Drosophila melanogaster: one gene and its partner. The protein of the gene in region 1 interacts with the protein of each later gene in a pairwise test. Each region holds a gene or a part of one and is shown on either strand. Other genes may lie near its edges. The genes, in order: Pdp1 and BuGZ.

Evidence for each region.
Region 2: the proteins of Pdp1 (region 1) and BuGZ interact in a two-hybrid assay, tested with the Drosophila melanogaster proteins (one large-scale study listed by BioGRID).

Annotation. Positions count from the first base shown.
Region 1 is NT_037436.4:7,826,657-7,838,355, reverse strand, and holds the start of Pdp1 (PAR-domain protein 1), read left to right. Parts: upstream 1-5,282; 5' UTR 5,283-5,802; intron 5,803-6,528; 5' UTR 6,529-6,777; coding exon 6,778-7,969; intron 7,970-10,337; exon of another isoform or gene 10,338-10,680; intron 10,681-11,068; exon of another isoform or gene 11,069-11,699.
Region 2 is NT_033779.5:16,736,602-16,748,300, forward strand, and holds the start of BuGZ (Bub3 interacting GLEBS and zinc finger domain protein), read left to right. Parts: upstream 1-6,803; 5' UTR 6,804-6,928; coding exon 6,929-6,963; coding exon of another isoform or gene 6,964-6,969; intron 6,970-7,158; coding exon 7,159-7,466; intron 7,467-7,522; coding exon 7,523-7,784; intron 7,785-8,088; coding exon 8,089-8,506; coding exon of another isoform or gene 8,507-8,551; exon of another isoform or gene 8,552-8,964; intron 8,965-9,625; coding exon 9,626-10,015; coding exon of another isoform or gene 10,016-10,027; exon of another isoform or gene 10,028-11,699. Other genes in the region: glu (gluon), read right to left, coding at 1-479, 541-1,676; ChLD3 (chitin and LDLR binding deacetylase 3), read left to right, coding at 2,395-2,593, 3,971-4,703, 4,765-5,287, 5,346-5,624; LSm7 (uncharacterized protein), read right to left, coding at 6,068-6,385, 6,445-6,459.

The DNA of each region.
Region 1 (11,699 bases):
TTATTGAGAGCGAAACGCAGGAAACTGTCATTGAGTGAGTTTTTCCACAAACAAAAAAAAAACGAAAATTCAATGGGCAAAGTATTGAAATGTATATTTAAATATGAAAATTTGTATTTTTAGGTATTGGGCAGACAACGTTGAGTTTAGGAAACGCGCGTGGAGAATGCCTTTGATTTTATTTTAGGTTTAAGCAATGTTTTACACATTTAGAACTGTCACAAGACAAAGTGACTAAAAATTCTTGTGAACACAAAAACTAAATGAAATGGAAACTAAATACGTGAATAAATATAAATGTGTGGGTGTATCTGTACGAAAAGTGTTGTTGTTAGTAAAATTATTACATTTTGAGAATTGGAGCAGCTGCTTTAATTTTTTGTCCACAGGCCACATATCCAAATATTGTTTCAAAAACAATTTCATGTTTTGGTCATATAGCGCCATCTATCGCCGACATCGGGCAGCTGTAAACCATTGACATTTTCTGAATGAAAAAAAAAAAACTATAAATAAATGAAGGCGAGCGCAACATTTTTTGGGCACAAAAAAGCAATTTGAATTCACGCTACCGAAAAAATGTTTTCACTCCAATTCTTTTAGCTTTGTGTTGACTTTTTTTTGGGTGGATGTTATTCATGCCTACTATTCTGTTAGTTTTCATACTAATTGTTCTTATTAACGAATTCATCAGACAATAAATTATTAATTACCGCATATATGGTGGATTTAATTTTATTGCCCTTAAGAAATGTATTAAAAGTACTGCAAATTCGGTTACTTATGTAAATAAGGTTACTCTTTATTCCCTTTCGTGTAATGTAAGATTTGAGAGATTATTTAATTTTTCGACCAACTGAATTATAATTAACTTTTGCATTTTTGACTAGAAACGATATAATATTTTATTCTAAACGTATTTTTTTAAATTTAAAATAAAGAAACAATAGTTCAACATTTACAGAGCTTTCAGCGACATTATTTTTAAATCATAAATGTACCTATTTGTTCCATTGTAAAGTAAAAGCTTAAGCGCCCTCTGTCGGCGGATTTCATGCAACTGAAACGGAAAGCTGGCCGAAGCTTTCGCTCTTTTCGTTGCGCCAGAGAGCGCATACCGTTTGTGTTTTTGTGTTTTGCTGAAGGCAGCTTGTCTGACAGCTTCCCCTGCCACCCACCACACACCACCCACCGCCTAACCATTTCCGCCCATCCGCCCCCTGCTAAAACATTGGAACTCATACACAGGCACAAGACCGTTTGGCTGAAACACGTGCGCATAGTCTTCCTGCTGAGATTCCTTTGGATATTGGTGATTAATTAGAATTTTTAACCACCTTAGCCTACGACAACAATCGAAATCGAAATCAAATTTCCGTGTTTGCTGACGTTCTCATTGCTTTTTGTTTTGCTGCCTTAACCGCCCCCTTTTTTGCCAGCGAGGTCACATGTTTCGCCAGGCGACGACGTCAGCTGCGTGTGCTATTTCTTCACTTCACTACTTGGGCTACTCGAATTTCCAGTCCAAAGTGCTGGGTGATAAGGCCAAAAGAAGGGGGGGGGGGAGGGTAATTCCTACCCTTCCCGATTGGCCGTACTTTAATTACGTAAATTAATTTCCGACTGCTGAACTTTAACATCGCACCTGATTGCGTCGCTGAAAAGTGTCTGCTTGTTGATATGAAATTTATGTTTATTGTCTGGTCAGCGGCCAGCGGCAAACCAACCTGTTGGCCAAGTTTCTCACTGATAAGCCGCCCGCAATATAATTTTTATTTTCCGTTAACTTGTTCTATAAAACCGTAAAAAAAAACATGGACATGGCGCATGTTTGGTATTAACATTTTCGGCCAATGAATGAAAAACTTTAGATAAAAACTACGGAGATTGGATTATCGAGTGTGGCGTGTTTGAGACCTTGAAGAGTTGATATCTGTGGAGTCACAAAATATATACATAAAAAATGATAAAACAATCAAATTTTATATTTAACAGATTCATCTATACTTAAGGGTATTGTTTCACTTTAATTAATTTTAAGTGGCCTTTTAATTACTCACACAGTTTTTAATTATACAAATGAAGTATTATATGTTTTTAATTGTTTTTGAGCCAAAGTTCACGAAACGGTGTATATTATATTATAGTGAATTTCAGTCGTTTATTAATATTGATTTATGTCTAAGTTAGTCCGTCTAACTAACAATATTTATATATATTTTACCCTTAAAAGTAAATGTAGCTGCACTATCTGGGTCAATTGGTTGCAGGCTTTTAATAACCCAGTCGTGCTATCGTAAAAACGTTTACACATTTCAACATTTCTAAATAATTATTTAGCAAAATGTTAATTTACGACCTGCTGCAGCAAACACGTGTATAATGACTCCAACGTCGCCATGCCAGACTCGTAAACCCCGCTCTCCAACGGATCCATTATAATAATACCTCTATATGGAACCAGAACCCAGACGGTTTCCATGCAAACACGCCAAATCACAGTGTGTTTAATGAAGGTTTGATTTGCTGCCTGTGTGTGTTAGTGCCTCAATTTGCAACGACATATGCTCAAAAAAATTCAAAAAAAATTTAGGTATTTTCAAGTACCAAGAATGAATTATATATATCTATAAAAAAAATATTTTTTTTTCCTGAAAAAAGAGCAACAATTATTTTGTTTACTTTCCGATTGCTGCTCCGCTTCCGATATTTATTCTGCACAATTTGCTTTATTTGCACATCTATGCAGTCTGTGTTTTGCTTCTCCTACTTGTATTTTTTGTTCTTCGGATGCAAAATAAAGCCATGCTAGTGTGTGTGTGACTCATTGATTCGATGTGTGAATGTGTGTGCGATGCTTTAAATTGCTATTTATAAACCAGCAAGAGCTGTGTCTTCGACTCAGTTGGGTTTTGCTTAGCAATTTCTGGCGCTCTCTGAGGGCTCATTCATCCATCGTAGCGCCACGGCGTATCTATGTGAGTGCGCTGCACTGGTGTGTGTCGGTGTGTGTTTTTGATTGTACCAAGTGTGTGTGAGGCAGTAGCCCAATCACACAGATACACACACTGGCAAGGGGAGACCGCCGGTGCACGTGGTAGCGAAACGTGATAATACGAAATACAACAACTGACAACAAAACAAACAGAAAACCTGACAACGCCGCTGTCGCTGCCTCTGCTGTCGTCGCGGTCGACGTCGTTCTCTGTCCATGTCGACGTTGGCAGATTTTCCCGGATTGGTTCCCTATTCTCGGCTTCACTGGCATATAAGCCTGGCCAATAGCAAAGCTCTGCCGCACATCCTTCTGTTATTGGATCCCGAAGCAAACTTCGTTTTTTCCTTCGCTTCGGAGCTTCGGATGACTTGTTGCTTTCCAAAAATAGTCACTGGCTGCACGGGGCGTATACTCGATATTCCCAGAATTGACCCGCCTGGGTAAAACAGGTGACTGAAGTTCGCTCTACCACATGGTCCATGGTTATGCCAATTGATGGGTTTTCAGGGCTGACTGGGTTTCTCAAATGCAAAAAAAAAAGAGTTTTGTTTAACCGAAGAATAGCACAAGGCTGAAAAAAGGTGGGCGACTTAACAAGTTTAACAAGTAGAAAAATGGCGAGGATATTCTTGGAATTCTTTTGAATTGGTTTAACGAAAGATGGAACCTTACAAATTGAATAAGTCTTATATATTTTATTTATTTTATATATTTCTTTATTTATATATTTCTTAAATAATCCATGTAATTGTAATTCAGTTTATTTGCATTTTTATCAGAAATGTGTTTTTATATTTTATCTCAAATTGCTTACTGCTCTGATTCATAGTTATAAAATCTTCGATGATCATTGGGTAAGTATTGAGTGTATTATACAAAACTTCTAAGAAAATTTACCGGACCTATGCCAACAGAGAGCAATTATTATAATTATTTAAACTTGATTAAGCCCTCGAATAGTTTGAATACTTTTTGAAATTTCCAAGAAAAACGGCGACCTACGGCAATAGTTTAGCGCCTTCGATAGAATGCAGATTAAGTATACGCTCCGTTGCAGCTACTACGTCGTTTCATTGGGTTTTCGCCCAGAGTGTTAAGCACTCAGCTTCAGACCCCCCCCCCCCACCACTCTGCCCCATCGGATCTACTTACTGGGAATGACGCAGCGGTAATTAGTTGGTGGCACAGAGGCAATCCTTTGGAGCACATTACGCATACGTCACGTGTTGCAGACGCACCAGTGCCGAATTAACCGAATATTGGCACGGCAATTGGCCAATCGGCCACGCACTCCAGCTGATGTGTAAAGTCTAGTGGCCATAGGTACACCCGTTACAGGGGGACAGACATAGCGCTCTATTGCGAATCGACTGGAAACTTTTGAGTTGCATTCGTATCTCTATTTGTCACCCTATCGGTACGTGTATCTTTGAGTGCGCTTGTCGTTCAACGTGCACTCTCATTCTCTCTGTCGCTCTCTCTCAATTAATTTGCGTATGTGTGTGTGCCCGGTGTGTCCGCAACACGTGCTTAGAACTGTGCTAGACAGTGGGCTTTGGGTCATATTGAAATCCGCGTGACTTGGCCGCAGCAGCGCTCAGCGCCTCAGCGGGCGTCGCAGTTCCAGTCCCCCAAGTATATACAAATAACTACAGCTATGTCCAAGATAATAGCAATCATTTAAGAGCAAGAAAAAAATGTTTTAAAATAATAAATTTTGTTACTAGAATATTATAAGTAATGTTGAAATAACTGAGATAAAACAAAGTTGCTTTAAAAAAAAATATTATTAAGTTCTTGATAGATAATTAGATATAAGAAGATAACATAGGTTTAGTCCTAAGTGAATTATAATTTATAATAGATTTGATACTAAATCTGAGTCGAAGTACTCGTATATGAACACTGTTTAATATATACCAAGAACTGTACTAAAAATACCTATGGCACTTGAATTGATTAATATAGTAGTAATGCTAATCATTTTCCCAGTGCTGTATGTAAAAATATTTGTTGTACATGTACAAATATTTTGCGCTACCAACATTTGATAAAAAAAAGCCAGTTAAACAATTATCAAAGTAGGAGAGGGGTTACTGTTTTCGGACCTCCGCCCTTTACGTAAGCCGACTTACTTGCAGAAAATTGCAATTTTTAGCTGGCTGAGAGAGCGGTAGCGGCGACTGCGACGTCGACTGCAGCGACGACTGCAGCGGCGGCAGAGGAAAAGCAGAGACGGACATTGAGACCGAGAAAATTACTCGGCCGGCATTCTGTCGCATCGCGTTCTCATGTGAAAATCGTCGCAGCTCGTTCCGTGTTTTCGCCACTCGAGCGGGAAAATCAAAAAATATTTCTACGCTCAACAAAATAAATTAATTGAAATTGATTTTTCAAGCAACAGAAATAGTTCTAGAAGAACTATAAATCGAGGAAGTCATTTTTGTTTTATCAAATTTCAAGTGCAATGGGTTCATTGTGAAATCAATCTAAAGTGTGTGTGTGTGTGTCATTCGAATAATTACTATTATTAAAAAAGAAATAAATACGCAGAAAGAGAGAGAGAGATCGAACGAGGCAGAGTGAAAGAGAGAGATAGAGAAAAAAGCGAGAGATCCGGAGATCTCTCGAGAATCTTTAAACAACAGCGCTAAAGTTACGGATCTAATTTCAAACAGTTTAATTTACTTTTAATTTTTCTACAAAACAACAAACTTCAAAAAGAAAAATACGAACCAGCAAAACTCAAAGCAAAAAACGATCTCATATCCAAGCGCAGCAACAAATTCTGAGAATAAGAAAAGGTATTCAACAAAAGGCTGAAAGGAAGAAGAGTTATTCATCAATGAAAAGGATAATTCAATTGATTTGGAAAATAATAATTTATTTGTTTTGATTTATATATAGAAAATATTCCAAATTTACGTTGAAATAATGTTAAAAAAAAAAAAACATTGGAAGCCTTTGACTCGGTTGATTTGATATACAGTTTAATTGGCAAATAATTATTAGTTTGTCTCGTTTTAAAAGTGAAGCAAAAACAATAAATGACCGTGAATGTTTTGATTGCAAAAATTCCATAAAGAACACGGAAAGCCTTTGTACCTATTGATTCCACTTTAAGATTTCTATAGCGTCACAAAAATCTTATTATACAAAATTGATTGAACTAAAAGAAAGCGCAAACTATACAACTATACAATGCCTTTTCTTATTCCTTATCATCATGATCATCAATAAAAACTAATGGAAAACTAAATAAAAATCATACAAAAATAGACGAAAACAAAGTGCATTCCCTGACCACACGAAAACAAGCGCATTCATTATCAGTTGCTATCAAAATCGCTTCCCCATCATACTCAATACTCACTAATAAAACTGAAAAACTGAATCATTCCCAACATTTTTCACCCACCTATCACCTGTTCATTAGCAACAACGAATTGGCTATCAATTGACTGGCAAATAAAAAACCAGCAACATACCAAAGTGCTCAAACACTAATCTGGGTTTTTCAAAAACAAAAGCACAATATTTTTTTCAGATAACACAGACAAGCGTTTATGTTAAAAACAAAAAAACTAAAGTGAACCCAAGTGTAAAGACAATGCGCACAACTTTTGGCCGTGGCCCAAAGTTTATACTGCTGACCAGCAAATTTAATCACGTTCAGCACAAGGAGGTGATCACCTAGGATCATCAGAAAACAGTGATTAACCGTAACCAGTGAAGGATAACCCAGTGAATAACGTACCCAGTTGTTGAAACCAGTGATCATGTCGTCGGATACGAATTCGTGTACTAGTTTCTTTGCCCAGGAGCACGCGAATGCCACATTGTCGCAGTATTTCCAGCAGCTTAACTCGCACGTTGCTGCTGCAGCGGCGGGCAATAGCGGTGGCAACAGCAGCAGCAGCAACAACAACAACAGCAGCGGCAACAACAGCAGCAGCGGCAACAGCGACAGCGGAAATGATGGCAGCATGACAGGATCATCGGGAACCATGGACAACCATCGCAGCAGTGTTAGCAGCAATGATTCGGGCAAGAGTAGCGCCACAGGAGGCGGCGGGGCAGGTGCCACCAGCAACAATGGCGTGAATGCCTGGGCCTTGCAGCAGCAGCAACAAACCGCCGCCCTGCACCATCAGCAACAGCAGCAGCATCAACAGCAGCAGCAACACCAACAGCACCTACAGCAACACCATCAAGCGCACCATCAGCATGTCCTGCAGCAGCAGCAGCAGCAGCAACAGCAGCACTCCCAGCATCAGCATCAGCAGCAACATCACGGCCACCCGTTGCATCCGCATCATACACACCAGCAGCAACAACAACAACAACAGCAGCAGCAGCCGCCGCCGCAACACCACCAGCAGCAGCAACAGCAGCACGCACAGCAGCAGCAGCAGCAGCATCATGCCGCCCAGCTGGCACATACACTGTCATCGGCCGCCGTTGCTGCTGCAGCCGGGAATACCGGTGGCAACACCAACCCCCACTCCATTTTCGGCACCGGCAACTTCCACTACAAGACGAACAACTCGTGGACGCTGCCCACGCTAACGTACCAGAGGATTTACCAGGAGAATCCCCATTACCAGCGCAACTCCTTCATGGATCCGCAGAGTAATGCCGCTGCAGCTGCAGCAGCTGCTGCTGCCAGTTGCAATGCTGCCGCTGTTGCGGCAGCCGCTGCAGTTGCAAGTGGCAACCAGGGATCGAATGGGAATGCCAGTGGCAATGGTAATGCTGTTGTGGCGGCAACTGGTAATGGAAATGGTGGAAATCCCGGCCAGAATAACAACAACAATAACGGCAACAATAGTGGCAATAGCAACAATAACAGCAACAACAATGTGTCCTCCGTGCAACATGTGGCAAATGCCGTCGCAGCGGCAGTGATCGCCAATGAGCATCACAACCATTTGAACAGCTTGAAAGCGCGATTTCAGCCAGCCAGCTCAGGTGAGGTGAAAAACTTGAGGAAAAAAGGGGGGGAAATTGTTGGAAAATATATATTGGATATATAGTAATGACCTTAAATGGTTTGTTAACTATAGAAAAATGGAAAAGTGCTACTTAACAGCTGTACTGTGCATTCGTATATATATATAAACTTATGTATATATCTTTCTACCGCTTAGATACTTCAACTTTTCTTGGTTGTCTTAAACATTAGTTGTATACAGTACTCTGAATAACTAAATTGTTTTGAGAACACAAAAAGCACACTTAAAGGGAGAAAAACCAAAAACAACTGATAAAGTGTATGACTAGTTCTGAGGATTTCCATTCTATATTCGCCCAGGCTGCATTAGAAAATGAGTGTTCGTTCCGTTGGGAAGTCTGGATATATATACTCTTACATACATATGTATGTATGTGCATGGTAACCCAGTGCGATATGTCTGTAGAACCTCTATCTGCATCCCGGCCACTGGGACTGATATCATCCGACGTCAGCGGCCGAGAACTTTGCGCATTGCGAGCTTGTAAAGCGCAAAAGTCAAGAAAGCTTGCCGCGCACACGTGAGCTCAGCTGAACTATATAGTATAGTTTATATGCATATAGTAATGTAGCCCGTATATACAATACTCACTGACGTCGCCGACGGTTCGAATTGAATAGGAAATGGAATTCAAAATGTAGATACATTTGCAAATGTATCTTTGCAACGAGGAATCGCCAAGTATATTGGCTCGCTGCCTACCACAAGGGTTATTTCATTATTTTCACCAATTTTCTTCGTGTTATAGATAAACAATTATATTACTTATTTTTCGACCTACGCCAAATTGCGTTGCCAGTGAATTAACTAAATTTAGTTGGTATATAGCAGAGTATTGTTTACAAAAACACCTATATCTTATCAGTTGATGACTCTCTTAGTAGCTGGCCCATAGGAATTCTCATTATGCATGGCAATTAGAACTGGAAAATTACTTTATATGCCGTTAAATTTTCCATTTAATAATCATGAAAACGATCCACATGGCTGGCATTTAGTTGGCTGGCCTAAAAGGGTTTCAATTCAACCAGTTTTGTGTGTGTGTTTTTTTTGGCACATCCTTTCACCTTTTTTGATCTACTTTGTCAATGCATTTGGCACAAATCCTTTCAAAAATCGCGGCTTAGCTGCCACCAATTTTCATGGGTTTTTCCGTTTTCCTTTTTTTTTTAACTGACCTCAGTTGGTCAACGTTGGGGAAATACATTTGGTTTGATTAGATTTCGGAATTAGGCTGATGAGATTTTTATGGCTGACGATATGGAAATGCATATGGCAAATGAGATGTGGGTGTTCTATCATCTCTCCCTCTAGATTGTTTGTTGTATTTCGCTGGGGTTGGTGCAAATTTCGCTATTGAATATACCGAAAATTACCTTTTAAGGCAGCATGTATAATAATTTGTATGAATTTCGTTTTAATGTGTGGGAAGAGTGGGGAAAGCTAAAATGGATAAATGTCAGTTGGCTCTGTGGGTGGTCACCCCTTTACCCCATGCATGGGAAATTTCCGACACCCTTGACAATACCAAATATCTACGTACTATTATAAAAATGCAATTTTGCTTTTTTTTTCCTTATTGTTGAAAAAACATTGTTCTAATTCAATTTTCACTCTCTTTTATTTACAGGTAAGCATCGAAACTCAATATTATCGACTTTTTTGTGAGTACAAGTAATTTTGTGGTTTGCTAAAACTGTTAATGGTAAGCTTTTGTCTTGTTTCATTTACTAACAATCATTATCTAAAGGGGATATTAGAATGAAGAAAAAAAAACCTTAAAACTCAAAAGTTATTTTGATCTTCTTTTCAAAAATATCCAACTCGAGCTTAGAAAATATCACTCAATTAGAAGAGCGCAAAGCTTTTTTGTGACTGACTCAAAACAAAGCTGCTGCTTTCGTGGGCAGCGGAAAATCTGCTTCCGCATGACGTCGGCATCGGCAGCGCAGCTCCCGCCAAGCGTGGCGGCAGCGACGTCGACGTCGGCGAACTTTGCCAGGCGGCACGAAAGAAAGTAAACAGGCGGAATGCGCAAAAAAATCAAGCGAATGCGGAGAAAGAGAGTGAGAGAGAGTGGGGAAGAGCAAGACGGGACGAGTGAGCTTTCAGGCTTTCGGTTTCAAGTTTGGCTTTTATTTTGTTTTTTTTTTGTTTTTTGTATTTCGCTGCTGCTTCCCTAGCTTTTCACTCTGTTTCTCTGGCTTTTTTCCCACTTCGCCGCTTCTCAGCATTTCTCTGCTGCTCTGCTCCTCTGCTTCTCTGCTCAGCAGCGAAGCTGCGTTTCATCGCATTGGCGACGCGCGCGTTCACTCGACGTTCGCAGTCCGGCGGCACCGGTTCGGTTGACGGCTCTCTACCAAAAAACCAAAAACCTAAAACAACATAAAAACCAAATCACATAAATATATAGCCAACTATCAAATTCCGAAAACTCAGAAATCCCCACTCACCACCAATACGAAAAGCCGCCGAAAAGCGAAAAAAAAGAAAAAGCCATAAAATAATACGTATACGACGCGTGTCTTCGTTTTTAGCGCGGCGCTTTCGAATTCGTGCGAACTTGTGAACTTTCGTTTCCTTCATCCAATTCCGAATTCCAATCACCCAAGCTTTTCGATTGGCAAGGATCGATCCTCTAGGAGCAGCCCCATCTTGGATTAAAATGTATTGTGCAGTGCTCGAAATTTGTTGATCTCCCGAATATAAGAAATTTGCGATCAAAAGATCGTTAAGTGAAATTCCTGAAAGGAATATACAAGTTTATGTATAACACATAGATATATCGAATATATAAAATTTTATATTTGGAATAAACCAAAGGTGTTTATAAGTTTGCAAACAAGAAATTAGTAAAATAAAATACTACAATATATTTTGTAAATTATTATGATCTTGCTTGAAGTTTAATTTAAAAGTATAAAGTTTACTTAAAATTAATTAGCTTAGAATAAATTTAAAACCAACGAATTCTAAATAAAAAAATCTGTAATCATTACGATACTCATATTTTAAGATCATAAAATTTACAAAATAAATTTAAAACAATTTGTAGTAGTTATCGAAACTGTCAACAACCAACATCAAATAAAAAAAAGGAGGAAAAAACCAAACATTCGCTGACAAACAAAAATTAATTCTGCAATAAAAATTCGCGTCGAATCACAGAAAAAAAAAGATCGACGATCAGTCTGAAAAATAGCAAAAACGCATAGCGAAAACATTTTGCTGGGTGTTTATTTTGCCTTTTTTTCTACTGCCGCTTCAAGGTCAAACTTTTCTCATTCAAAAGCGGTGGGCAGCGAGAACTGAACCCCTTAACAAACGGGCCCAGCCCCACACAGCGATAAAAAAATACAAAAAAAAAAAAAATTAAATAAAACAACACTCAGTACACGGAATAGTTGACAACGAATAATAATAGAAAAAGGCAAACAAAACAAACAATAGCAAAATTGCGAGCGCAAAAAAAGGCAAAAAAAAAAAAACAGAGCCAAAGCACTCGCCTCAAATTCTGAGTAGCAAAGTGAGCTCGCTCTCTGTTTTTGATGTTGTTGCTGCGCTGATCGCAACAGCAGCAGCAACGTGCTATAAAAGCTTTTATTCGGTTCTAAATTCCAATTTGTTGTTAATTAAGCCAACCGCCAGTGCAGTAGCAGCAGCAACATGTTTGTGCCACACATGGC
Region 2 (11,699 bases), on another chromosome or scaffold:
GACTTTTCTGCGACTGCTCGTACGAACTTTTTAGGGTTTCATATTTCCTAGACTCAGTGGTCTCTGCCTGTTTAAGGATCTTGAGCTGCGACTCGAACACTTGAACCTCTCCTTTAGCCGTGTTGACCTTCTCCTTAAGGCCCACCAGTTCGTCACTGAGCTTAAGGCGCTTCTCGGTAAGCGGTGCAGTGGTTTTAGTTAACTCGGCCTGCTGCTTTTCAAGCTCCTCATTCAGTGTCACCTTACTTACTTCCAGGCTCTCCAATTTCTTGTTGCAATCCTCGATCTCGCGCTGATTTTTCTCCGGCAACTTGTGCAGATCCTCCAGCTCTTTTTCGTTCTTTTCTATCTGGGCTTTGTCCTTCTTGCGCTGCTTGTTCGTGTTCTCCATTGTGCTCTGGATCTCTGTGTAGGCACTCTCAACAGTCACAAGTCTTTTCTTGATCTGTTCGCGCTTTTTCACTAGAGCTTCGTATTCTCTGAAATTACGTAATGTAATGTAATATATAGCTCAGTTTGAAGTTGAAGCTAGGTACTTACTCAATTTCCTTTCGGATGATTGTTTCCTTTTCGGCTCGTGATTGTTTCAGGGCAGCAGTGCCCTCGTCGTGGGTTTTTAGCTCTTCCGCACAGGCTTCATGCTCCTGGGTGTACTGCTCCAGCTTGCTCTTTTTGATGCTGATGATCTTTTGGATGTGGAAGGATTTGGTGCGCACCAGCTCATTCTCCTTCTTCAGATAGTCGACGGCCTCATTGAACGGTTGCTCCAGATCTTTCATCTCGCGCTCGGCCAGCTTGCAGCGGTTGTGCTTCTCTGTTCGGTCGTCTGTGAGTTGATCTACCCGTTGGTTTATCTGCTGCAGTGGGCGAATGTAGCGCTGTGTTCCGACAATATCCTCCAGGTATTCCAACATTCCAGTTTCATTTTCAGTCTGCCCTTTTGGCTTCATCATGGCAATGGACTCCACTTCGCCCTGCAGAATGAGGAAGCGATTGTGCTCCAGATCCACATGATGCTTCTTAAGCAGCTTAGCCACATCCTTGAGCTGCGCCCGTTTGTCGTTGATCTGGTAGTAGGAAGAGTTGTCCGACATGGCAGTGCGTTCGATAACAATGCTGGAGTCGGGCACGTCCTCGCATGTGCCGTCGCCCTTGTCTACGATCTGCTTGAAGTGGACGGCGACCGAGCAGCTGCGTAAATTGGGATAACTAGACGAGGAGTGGATCAAGGTGGAGACACGCTTGCAACGGATGCGATTGGCGCGGCAACCAAACACAAACATCATGGAGTCGATAACGTTGCTCTTGCCACTGCCATTGGGTCCAATGATGGCAGTGAAGCTCTGGTGGAAGGGACCCAATTCCACTTCGCCCGCATAGCTCTTGAAATTCCGATTTACAATTTTCGAGATGATCAGGCGCGGTCCGGTGCTCTCCATGGAGCAATGTGGCGGCACCGGAGGCGGTATGTATATGTCGCCGATCCGGGTGCCGCCCTCCTCGTCGTCGAAGATCAGTGCATCATCCAGCGCGTCCACGGCGGCGTCCTCCTCCTCCTGTTGTTGCTGCGCCCGCAATTGTTGCTGAGCAGTTAGCTGCGGTACGCGAAACTGGCCGCTCTGCCGGGCTCCGCCAGCTGCCTTGGGCGTGCCCTTGCTGGGACGCGCCTTCTGCATCGTGCGCTATTCTCAGTAAATTCTCCGTGTGGATTTATCCAGGAAAAATCCTCGAATTACAAAATCGCTTTTTCGGGCGCCAATGGTAATAGGACGCTATCAGCAGTGTGACCGTCTTGATGTGCCCGCAAAATACTGGCAAGGCCGTTAAATAAATCAGGCGAGTTGTCAGCTCTGTAGTTTGAATTTAAATTAAAAGTCGTTACATCGACGCTAAGAACAAATTTCAAATATTCTAAAACATATATGAAACTGATATTTGTAAATATAATATGAAATATTATTAATTAAATCACAATAAAACTCAACTAAGTAGTTTTTTCGATGAAGTTAGCAAAATAATGAAATACATTTATTTCATCGTAAAGTAAATGAATTTCATAATAAGCAAGCAAACTACTTAATTTCCAAAAAAGCCGTGTAATAGTTTGGAAATTATGAATAACTCAGCGCGCTCTGCGCTCCCCAAAAACATAAGCGAGACACCCACTGCGCGGAGCTTTCTCTCCGCTATCCGCAAGTCAGAGAAATGCCCAAATATATATAATGCCTTGGCTGCATCTCGCACGACTTTAGTCACAACTCGACTTTGGCTCGGTGCGGAACCATTTTCACTGGCGGTTTTTCCTTCGGTTTTCCGATCGCGCGCAAGATTAAAGCGCTCAAAGCAAGCAGCCAAACACAAACGCGAGTGGCAAAGTGGAAAGCAGGCTGAAAAATGCTCTGCCCGGGGGAAAATGCCTATAATGCAAATGGCCAAACGGGTTTCACAGTCAAGGTCGTCGCTTCCGCCCAGCGACGCTCGAAGCCACAACCAACAGCGCGAATTCCCAACGCCCACCGCTTACCCAGTTTGTGCATCTGGATGATGGTGGCGCTTATGATTATGTCGTCGTCGCTGGACGCCCTGGTCATTGGTAATTTTCTCCCCTTTTGTTCGCTTTTCGATTGGGTACGACTGAATTTATTTAGTTTTTGGCATGCTCATGCGCGCATGCGCACATTGGGTGTGAAAGTTGTCGATCGAATCGAAGGAGTTATATAACACGAAACGACCAGCCAAGTGGGGCCAAGTCGGGTTGTCCACATGCCCGCACCCGTCCCCAAAAAACAAAACAAAAAAAAAAAAAAACTAAAAAGAGCGTGTGCATTGAACCCCATGACAGTTGCTGAAATTTTCCTGACCCGCTGCCTTGGCCTCTCTGGCCGGCGGAGATGATAAATTTACTTTCTAAATGCTGCAAATGCCCAGCTGCCCCAGCTAGACATTCAGCTAGAGCTGCAGATTGAGATTCAGATGGAGATCGAGATGGAGATGGAGATATACACACACGGACTGTCAGTCAGTCGGTCTATCTACTATAGTCACACATATGTATGCACATATCTCCAATCTTGAGATCGCATCTTGCATTTGGCCAACACGCGTCGCTTGCCCAACCGCCTGAGTTACGATATGGTGCGGCACGGCTACGGGCCATTGCTGCCGATCCATGATGCAAACGCATTTCAACCCGTCCGCCGCAATGTGGCACATGGCTGGGACGCATTTCCAAGTGGGTGGAGCTGGCGTTAGTTTCAGAAAGACCTATTACACAAGTGATTTGAAAAAGTTCAACAATTTACTATACTTATCTCAAAGGTGCTCCATAGTTTACACTCAATTCTAGCAATATTTATCCAATATTTTCAATATTCATAATCATTTCCAAGTTTGCCAGTGCATATAAATTGGAAAAATATTTTTAAATGGCAAGTCAACATAATTTTGAGTGCTAGTTTAGTGCCAGCTGTACTTCGTGACTAGTTGTCTTACTATTGTTTCCATCACGTTTAAATCACGGCGGAAGATCATCTAAGATCACATTATGGTTAATATAATGTTAATTGAGGCCTCGAGCCAATCAAAAAGGTCATCGAAGTCCAACGGTCCTCGGAATTCAGGCACTTCTAAGCGAGCAAGTGGCCTACACACATTCATATATACATATATTTCCTTGAAGTTTGTCCAACTTTTCGTTTCAATTGAAGTAGCGACGTGGGTTTTTTTTTTGTTTTTTGTCGTCTTGCTCCGTAATAGTTGACTACTATTGGCAACTATGCGCACCACCCATTTCAGTGCGTGATTGGTATCCAGCTGGAAAAAAGCAAAAATATTTCTGCAAGCGGCTAATTTTGGGCTGACGTGAGCGGTTTCGTTTTTGGGTCAATGCATTAATCAGTAATCAGTCTCCTTGTTAATTACACACGGCTATCTCACACCCAGTTTCTTTTTTTGTGTGCCTGCTTTGCAGACAATGATGGAATAGTCGGCAACCAAACTCGGCATCGTCGCTCGACCTCCGGCGCAGCCAGTTGCATGCAAGATGCACGCTTCTACCGCAACCCCAACAGGCCGGTCCACAAGATCTGGACGAACAGCGAGTGCGCCAAGTATTTCCTCTGCCTCGACGGTGAGGTGTTCGAATTCAAGTGCTCCGAGGGATTGCTCTTCGATGTGGTGCGTCAGATCTGCGACTTCAAGGCGAATGTGGACAATTGCGATGTCAGCGCGGAGACGCCGGCTCCAAAACCACTACTGGAGATGGCCGACTGTGCGGATGAATACCAGTTGGGCTGCGCCGATGGTACCTGCCTGCCGCAGGAGTACTTCTGCGATGGTTCGGTAGACTGTCCCGACGGCTCCGACGAAGGCTGGTGCGATGTGGAGCACGATCCGAATGCGGCTGGTGCCTGTGATCCGCGAAAGTGCCATTTGCCGCAGTGCTTCTGCTCGAAGGATGGCACCCAGATACCCGGCAGTCTTCCGGCACAGAGTGTTCCGCAGATGATACTGTTGACCTTCGACGATGCCATCAATCACGATAACTGGGAGCTGTTCTCCAAGGTTTTGTTCACACAGCACAGGCGAAACCCCAACGGGTGTCCCATTAAGGGCACATTCTACGTTTCACATCCGTTTACCAACTATCAGTATGTGCAGAAGCTTTGGAACGATGGTCACGAGATCGCAGTGCACTCAGTAACGTAAGTTGTTGATCAGCCTGTAAATTATTTAAAATTGAAATTTCACTTTTATTGATTAAAGGCATCGTGGCCCAGAGATGTGGTGGTCCAAGAATGCCACAATTGAGGATTGGTTCGATGAGATGGTTGGCCAGGCGAATATAATCAATAAGTTCGCAGCGGTACGAATGGAGGAGATTCGTGGCATGAGAGTACCCTTTCTGCGCGTCGGCTGGAATCGACAGTTTCTCATGATGAAGGAGTTTGGCTTCGTGTACGATTCATCCATGGTTGCGCCGCATTCGAATCCTCCTCTGTGGCCCTACACCTTGGACTACAAGATGCCGCACAGCTGCACGGGCGTAAATCAGAATTGCCCGTCTAGGAGTTATCCGGGCATTTGGGAGCTGGTTATGAACCAACTGGAAGTGGGCGAGTATATGTGCGGCATGGTGGACACGTGTCCGCCGCATTTGAGCGGCGAGGATGTGTACAGAATGCTCACGCACAACTTCAAGAGGCACTACCTCAGCAATAGGGCACCATTTGGCCTGTATTTCCATTCGACTTGGTTCAAGAAAGTCGACTATCTGAATGCATTTCTGGTGAATATTCGAATTGTTACCCATAATACTAGATCTTCATTCCTTCCTGATCATTTAGAAATTCCTCGACGATCTGCAAAAGCTGCCGGATGTGTTCTTCGTGACTAACCAGCAGGCGATTCAGTGGATGCGCCATCCCACGCCCAGCAACCAGCTGCACCAATTCGAGTCCTGGCACTGCCAACCGAAGGACTTGGATCCCCACGAGCAGGTCTGCAACACGCCGAATGTGTGCAAGGTGCGTAGTCGGGTGCTGCAAGAGGATCGATTCTTCTACACTTGCATGGAGTGTCCTGCCCAGTATCCCTGGATTCGCAACGAGTTCGGCTTGGACTAAGGTGATAGCCCGCTTGACACTATAGGGCTCTGCGCAAGGCGCTTTGATATATCCATAATGTTTGGAGCGTTCCATAAGTAATTGGATAAGATTGATACAATTTTAGGTTTTAATTGTTTAGAAAAATTAATATTTATAAATTGGATTACGCATATTTAGATGATTCAGCTTTCAAAATCTGACCGTAAGCAAACCCGTAGATAACTTCGTAACATACCTGAAGAGGATAAAGTGCATTAATTTAAAATCGGAACACTCTGAATTTTATGGAGAAGCTTAAACAATTTCGCGGGCTCATAAACGTGGTACTTTGCGGCCTGATTAGATTTTAAGAACTAATTTATACGTATGTATGTCTCCGCTAAATATATTTAAACCGATTTCCAAAAGAGCTTTGTACTTAGTCTACATTCTGGAACGCATCCCAGCCACAAAACCTTGGACTATTGCGTTATAAACGGATTGGCGATGCTCTCGACTCCGTCTTGCGGACAAATGAGGACGAGGGCTGTGCCGCGACAGACGACCAGTCCCAGGCTGCGGGTCTGCTCCTCGGTCAGTTTGTAGGGCTCATCCGAGTCGCGCAGATACTCCACCGTGTTGTCCAGCACCAGATTGAGCAGCGCATCGTAGCCCTTGAGGATTCCGGATGCCTCGCGGCCGCCCGCGAATTTCACGCGGATCTGTTTCTCCAAGTACTTGGAGAGGTCCAGAATGGACTCCTTGCGGCGCTTCTCCTTACCGTCATTGTTGCCACCCACCTGACAAGTCACGATTTTGATGATTAAGCACCACAATGTAGTTATTCTATTTAATTTACCTTTTTATCTGCCATTATTCTGTTTTTGGTAAATGCCGGCTGGTAAAGAGTGACCAAAGCATATTTTTTTAGAAATACACCAAATAAGGCGCTACTAGCCAGCAGATGGCGCTGGTGAAGTAATCTTATGGGCCGCGCTTTTTGAGGTACATAATCGATAATAATGGAATAAACATATGTAAGAATTAATGTTATTTGAAAAATATGACAACAAAGTTCTCTTATTTCTACTGTCATCATTGTGAAATTATTTTCTTACCTTTTGCTATTGAGGCGAACATATCAATTTATTTGTATAATAATTATTATATTGGTTTAAGATATCGATAAGATTCATTTATTTGTATCGATATGCTGGTCACTCTGACTGGCTCTCCATTTTGTTTTCCACGACAGAGCAATTTTTAGTACAACAGATTGTTATCTTCTACCAATTACCGGATCGATTTTGTACATTTAAGTGTTTTAAAGCCACCTTAGGATCATGGGACGCAAGAAGAAGAAGGCCTCCAAACCCTGGTGCTGGTATCCTTTTCGCAAAACAAAGATATAAATATTTTTTCACTGCATGTGCCGCTCGCTGTATCTGCACATACACACACATTTATATAATGGTATTGGGTTGGGGGTAGATACACACACACATGTATATGCATACTGGCTACAACGCCGCATCCCCGTGAATTTTCCTTAACTCTTAACGCAAAAAACTAGGTACTGCAACCGTGAGTTCGATGACGAAAAGATCCTTGTGCAGCACCAGAAGGCCAAGCACTTCAAATGCCACATCTGCCACAAGAAGTTGTACACCGGACCCGGACTATCCATACACTGCATGCAGGTGCACAAGGAAACGGTGGACAAGGTCCCCAACTCGCTGCCCAATCGCTCAAATATTGAAGTCGAAATCTTTGGCATGGACGGCATTCCCGCCGAGGATCTCAGGGATCACGAACGTCAGAAGAATGGTGGCAAGTCTGATTCGGACGATGATGAACCGGTGGCCAAAAAGAAAGTAGAATGTAAGTGATCAGCAAACTGTATTGTATACAAAATCGCTATACAACATTCATTGCAGATGCCATGAGTGTACCGCCGCCTATGATGATGCCCCCGAACATGATGCCACCGCACATGCTGGGGCAGTACGGCATGGGCATGATGCAGCACATGCCGCCACTGCCTCCGTATCCAGTGCCCATGATGCCGCACATGATGCCTCCGCGTCCTTTGTTTCCAGCCGCCATGGCCACAACATCGGCGGCAGCTGCTGCGGCGGCGGCCCATCATCACCACGCCGCCGCCATGGCTCAACAAAAGCCAACATTTCCAGCGTACAGGTTAGCATCGTTAGGGGAAGACCATATAAGAATCCTTCCAATTTTTTTTTCTAAAGCTAGCAGTTAGACGTAGAGCCCTGTTAATAATCTTTTTTTTTTAAACGATTCGTATGTAAATTCAGTTTTGGGGGTATTTTAGGTGAAATACTTTCTACTCCAAATAATTGTTCACATTGGCACATTTTTAATGGTTTTCCCCTATTAAACATAGTTGTGAAGCAAGTCAAATGACTTATTATTAGGCTTAATCCTAAGAATTTGTTTTTAACTAACGTAAATCAATTATTTCTTCTTTTTGCTAAAGTAATGCTACCATAAGTGCTCCGCCTACCACCAATCATGCTGGTGGCGCATCCAGCGCACCACCAAGTGGTCCGCCAGATGCTCAGCAACACCAGCAGCGACCTCCAGCTCCACCGGCGGCAAGCGGAACTTCCGCTGCTGCTGTGACCACAAAGATTATGCATCCACAGGAGGACCTGAGTCTGGAAGAATTGCGCGCGCGCCAACCGAAAATACAAGCACGGTTGGCGGCCGCTTTGGCTTCACTGGCGAATCCACAAAGTCGCAAGAGTCCCAGCAACAATGGTGGCCCCTCTACGTCGATTCCCACCACTCCGCCGCCCCCGTCGCTGGCCGGGATCTCGCCCACGGGTAGCAATAGCAGCAGTGGCATGGCTAACTCGATTGTCGTCTCCGCAGCCATGTCGAAGGCCCAGGAAGTGAGTTCTTATCATAGTTATAGAAACCATAGTCAATATAAATAAACAGACCGTGACGGAAACGACTTCCACTGATTAACAGGAAATGACAAGCACAACGGACTGAAACGAGGACGTGTAAAAAAGACAATTTCCTCCAAAAAAAGAAAAATAATGAAAGAATAAATGTAATTGCACATAAAAAAACCTGACCCAATTTCGACTGCATTTTAAGAGAATGCATTCAGCATTCTAACAGAATTCCATTTTTCCAAACTGGACACTTTTATACATTTACTCTGCGCAGATCGCAAATTGCGACAGCGGAAGTTACGTTTAGACGACCACAGCGTACGAGAGCAAACAGATTACGAGAATCACACAATACGAAACAACATTAAAAAGAAAAGAAAACTTTTTTTAGCATATAGTATGATATATGTCTGTACAATTTTTAATTAAAAAAAATTAATGGCAACAAAACAAATGAAACGGCGGTTTTCAATTTAATTAATTTGATTTAAAACATTTTACCTCAACACATAGAGAACTCGATAGAAGGGAAAAGCAAGGTTTCGCATTGTCTTGGCCCTAAAAGTAATCTCCATCAATGTGATATGCCAACACATGTGCTAGTTTTGTATCTTAAAGGTAAAGCGGAAGCAGCTGAAATGCAATTCACATGCCCACTGATAAATAGTGAAATTCTTTATAGCGGGTGGGCTGATTTAATTGGATCATAGGGGCAGGTTTGAAGCCAGCTTGCTTAGTATGTTTTAGAAATCTATGTAGTCGGTTCCATACACGCTTAGGAAGCGTTTTTTACATCAAGCGCAGGCTAAAAACTCATTTTTAAATAGGGAATCTTAAATTAGATGATTACTTTAATTCTTGATATGATCTAGTAATTTTTGTTCGTCAATTTTTGTTACTTCAGCAGCTTACAATCTGCAATTCTATTTTTTCATTTGGGGTTCAGCCCCGTTTTTTTGAAACCCTTAAGCAAATTTTTTTGTTACCACGATAGGTACATAGAGACCTGACTCAGTCAGGATACATTTTTTTTGGGTTGACCCCGAAACTACACCCTCCCAGTGGCAAGTGAGATAAATTCAATCGATTCCAAACATTTTCTTACAGAACGCCGCTCTAGTTGCCGTGGCACAGGCGCAGGCACACGCACACGCACATGCTGCCCAGGTGCAGGCCCAAGCGCAAGCCCAGGCCGTGGTCCAAGCTCAGGTGCAAGCCGCGCATGTGGCACACGCTGTGGCAGCACAGCAGCAGGCAGTACAGCAGCAACAGGCGGCTCAGCAGCAACAGCAAGCCGCTGTGCAACAGCAGGCGGCGGTGCAGCAGCAGCAACAACAACAACAGGCGGCGGTGCAGCAGCAGCAGGCGGCGCAGCAGCAGGTCAAACAACTGGAGGAACTGAATCGGGCTGTGATGCTCCAGCGCTTTCAGGCTGCCCGACAGCCTGGGAATCCCGGTGCGGCAGCAGCGGCTGCGGCGGCCGCAGCCGTCGGCATGGTAAGTCTCTAATCATGCGGTGCTGCGTATGCCACGCGAGCAATCAAACCAAAGAATGAACTTGCCTTAACAATACCGAAATTCCGAAATTGCTGAGAATCTCAATCTGTAAAAGACCACAATACAAATACCGATCTTGTGTCCTAGAATGGTATCATAAAGCCAACGACAGCATTTTCGAGTGGGTTAACCCAATAAATAAAGCTTCGCCCTCATCATCATGGTTGGTCACCTATTAGCTAATGTTTACGCGATTAGTTGGGGGTTCTAAATTTACAATGATCCTATAGCGAGATAATCTATGGTTAACCGAAACGCACACTCATAAGACTAATCTGAAAATTTATGTTAAAACCGTCAACGGATACATTAAAAAAATGTGTGTATTTGTAAAAAAATATAACTTTTTTTTTTTAATTTTATAAAGGATTTAGTTTGTTAAAAAATTAAAATATTTAGGAGCTGATAGGAAAAAGAAATTTGCACTTCTTTAAAACAAATTAACGTTTTCATCAGTGTAAAAACAATCACTTGGCTAACTACAACCGCTTACCAACACTACCGCTTAAAGTTCCCTTTTCTTTTCGAACCCATTACTTTTGCCCAGCTTAGAAACAAGGAAGATCAACAGTCTCAACTACGTCTTTACGCCATATGTATAAATCTAAAAACCCTATTAAGCTTGTAAACTGGAAAAATATGTTAAAGTTACCGTTACAATTGCAGTACAGAGCAGAAGTTCAGTGTTGATAAACGATAAGTGTTGCAAAAGTGTTGCGCAGGGTCCAAAAAGAGTTACAGTATGTATGGTTTTTGTACAAGCAAGTTTATCTCTTCCCCCAAAACCCAACCTAATCACTCCCTCAATAAAACTCACACCCCGCAAAATGATATGTGATATACAAAGTGCGCAATGCAACCAGATAAGTAAAAGCCAAAAACTCCATTATAATCTTACTTAGTCGTACTTATGCAAGTAATTATGTAGTCTAAGCAAGTACCTACTCTACTCTATCTCTCAATATCACATCCATGCGTATATAATCCACAAAGATCAAACCCCCCGACCCCAAATGAGTTTCTAGTACGTACTGCCTTGCAAGTAAAACAGAAAAACAATTAACATTTACAAATATGATAGTGAATGAGAGAACAGTCGTGAGTTATGTTTAAACTATTTTGCAAGCCATGTAAGTACATTTCAATAATTTCTATTACAAAAAAAAAAAAGAAACAATTACTTTGAATTTGTCGTAATGGTTGCTGCGTTGGTTGGTTTAATTGATTGATGATTGATTGACTGGTTGATTGATTAATTCATATCCACAAGATATACACTTGAATTAAGTAAGACAACACTCCGCATTGATATGTCTCTCTCTCTGTTTCTATTAACTTGATACTTCACCCCCCAATATAAAAACCAAACCTGAAAACTACCTCATAAGCATAATATCTAAATGTTTTATGACCTGTAAATTGTATTACCATATATCAGTGTTTTATGTTTTTCCGATCACGCATTTCTGTCTCGAAATCATTCTTCCTTCATTCAAAAGCATTCCAAATTCATACCATCCACATCCACTTCCATTCACACTAACACTCCATTCGTCTGGTTTAATGCGCAGTACAAATGCTAAACCAAGGTAGAGGACTTCCGGTTCGCGATTCCTTCAATTTC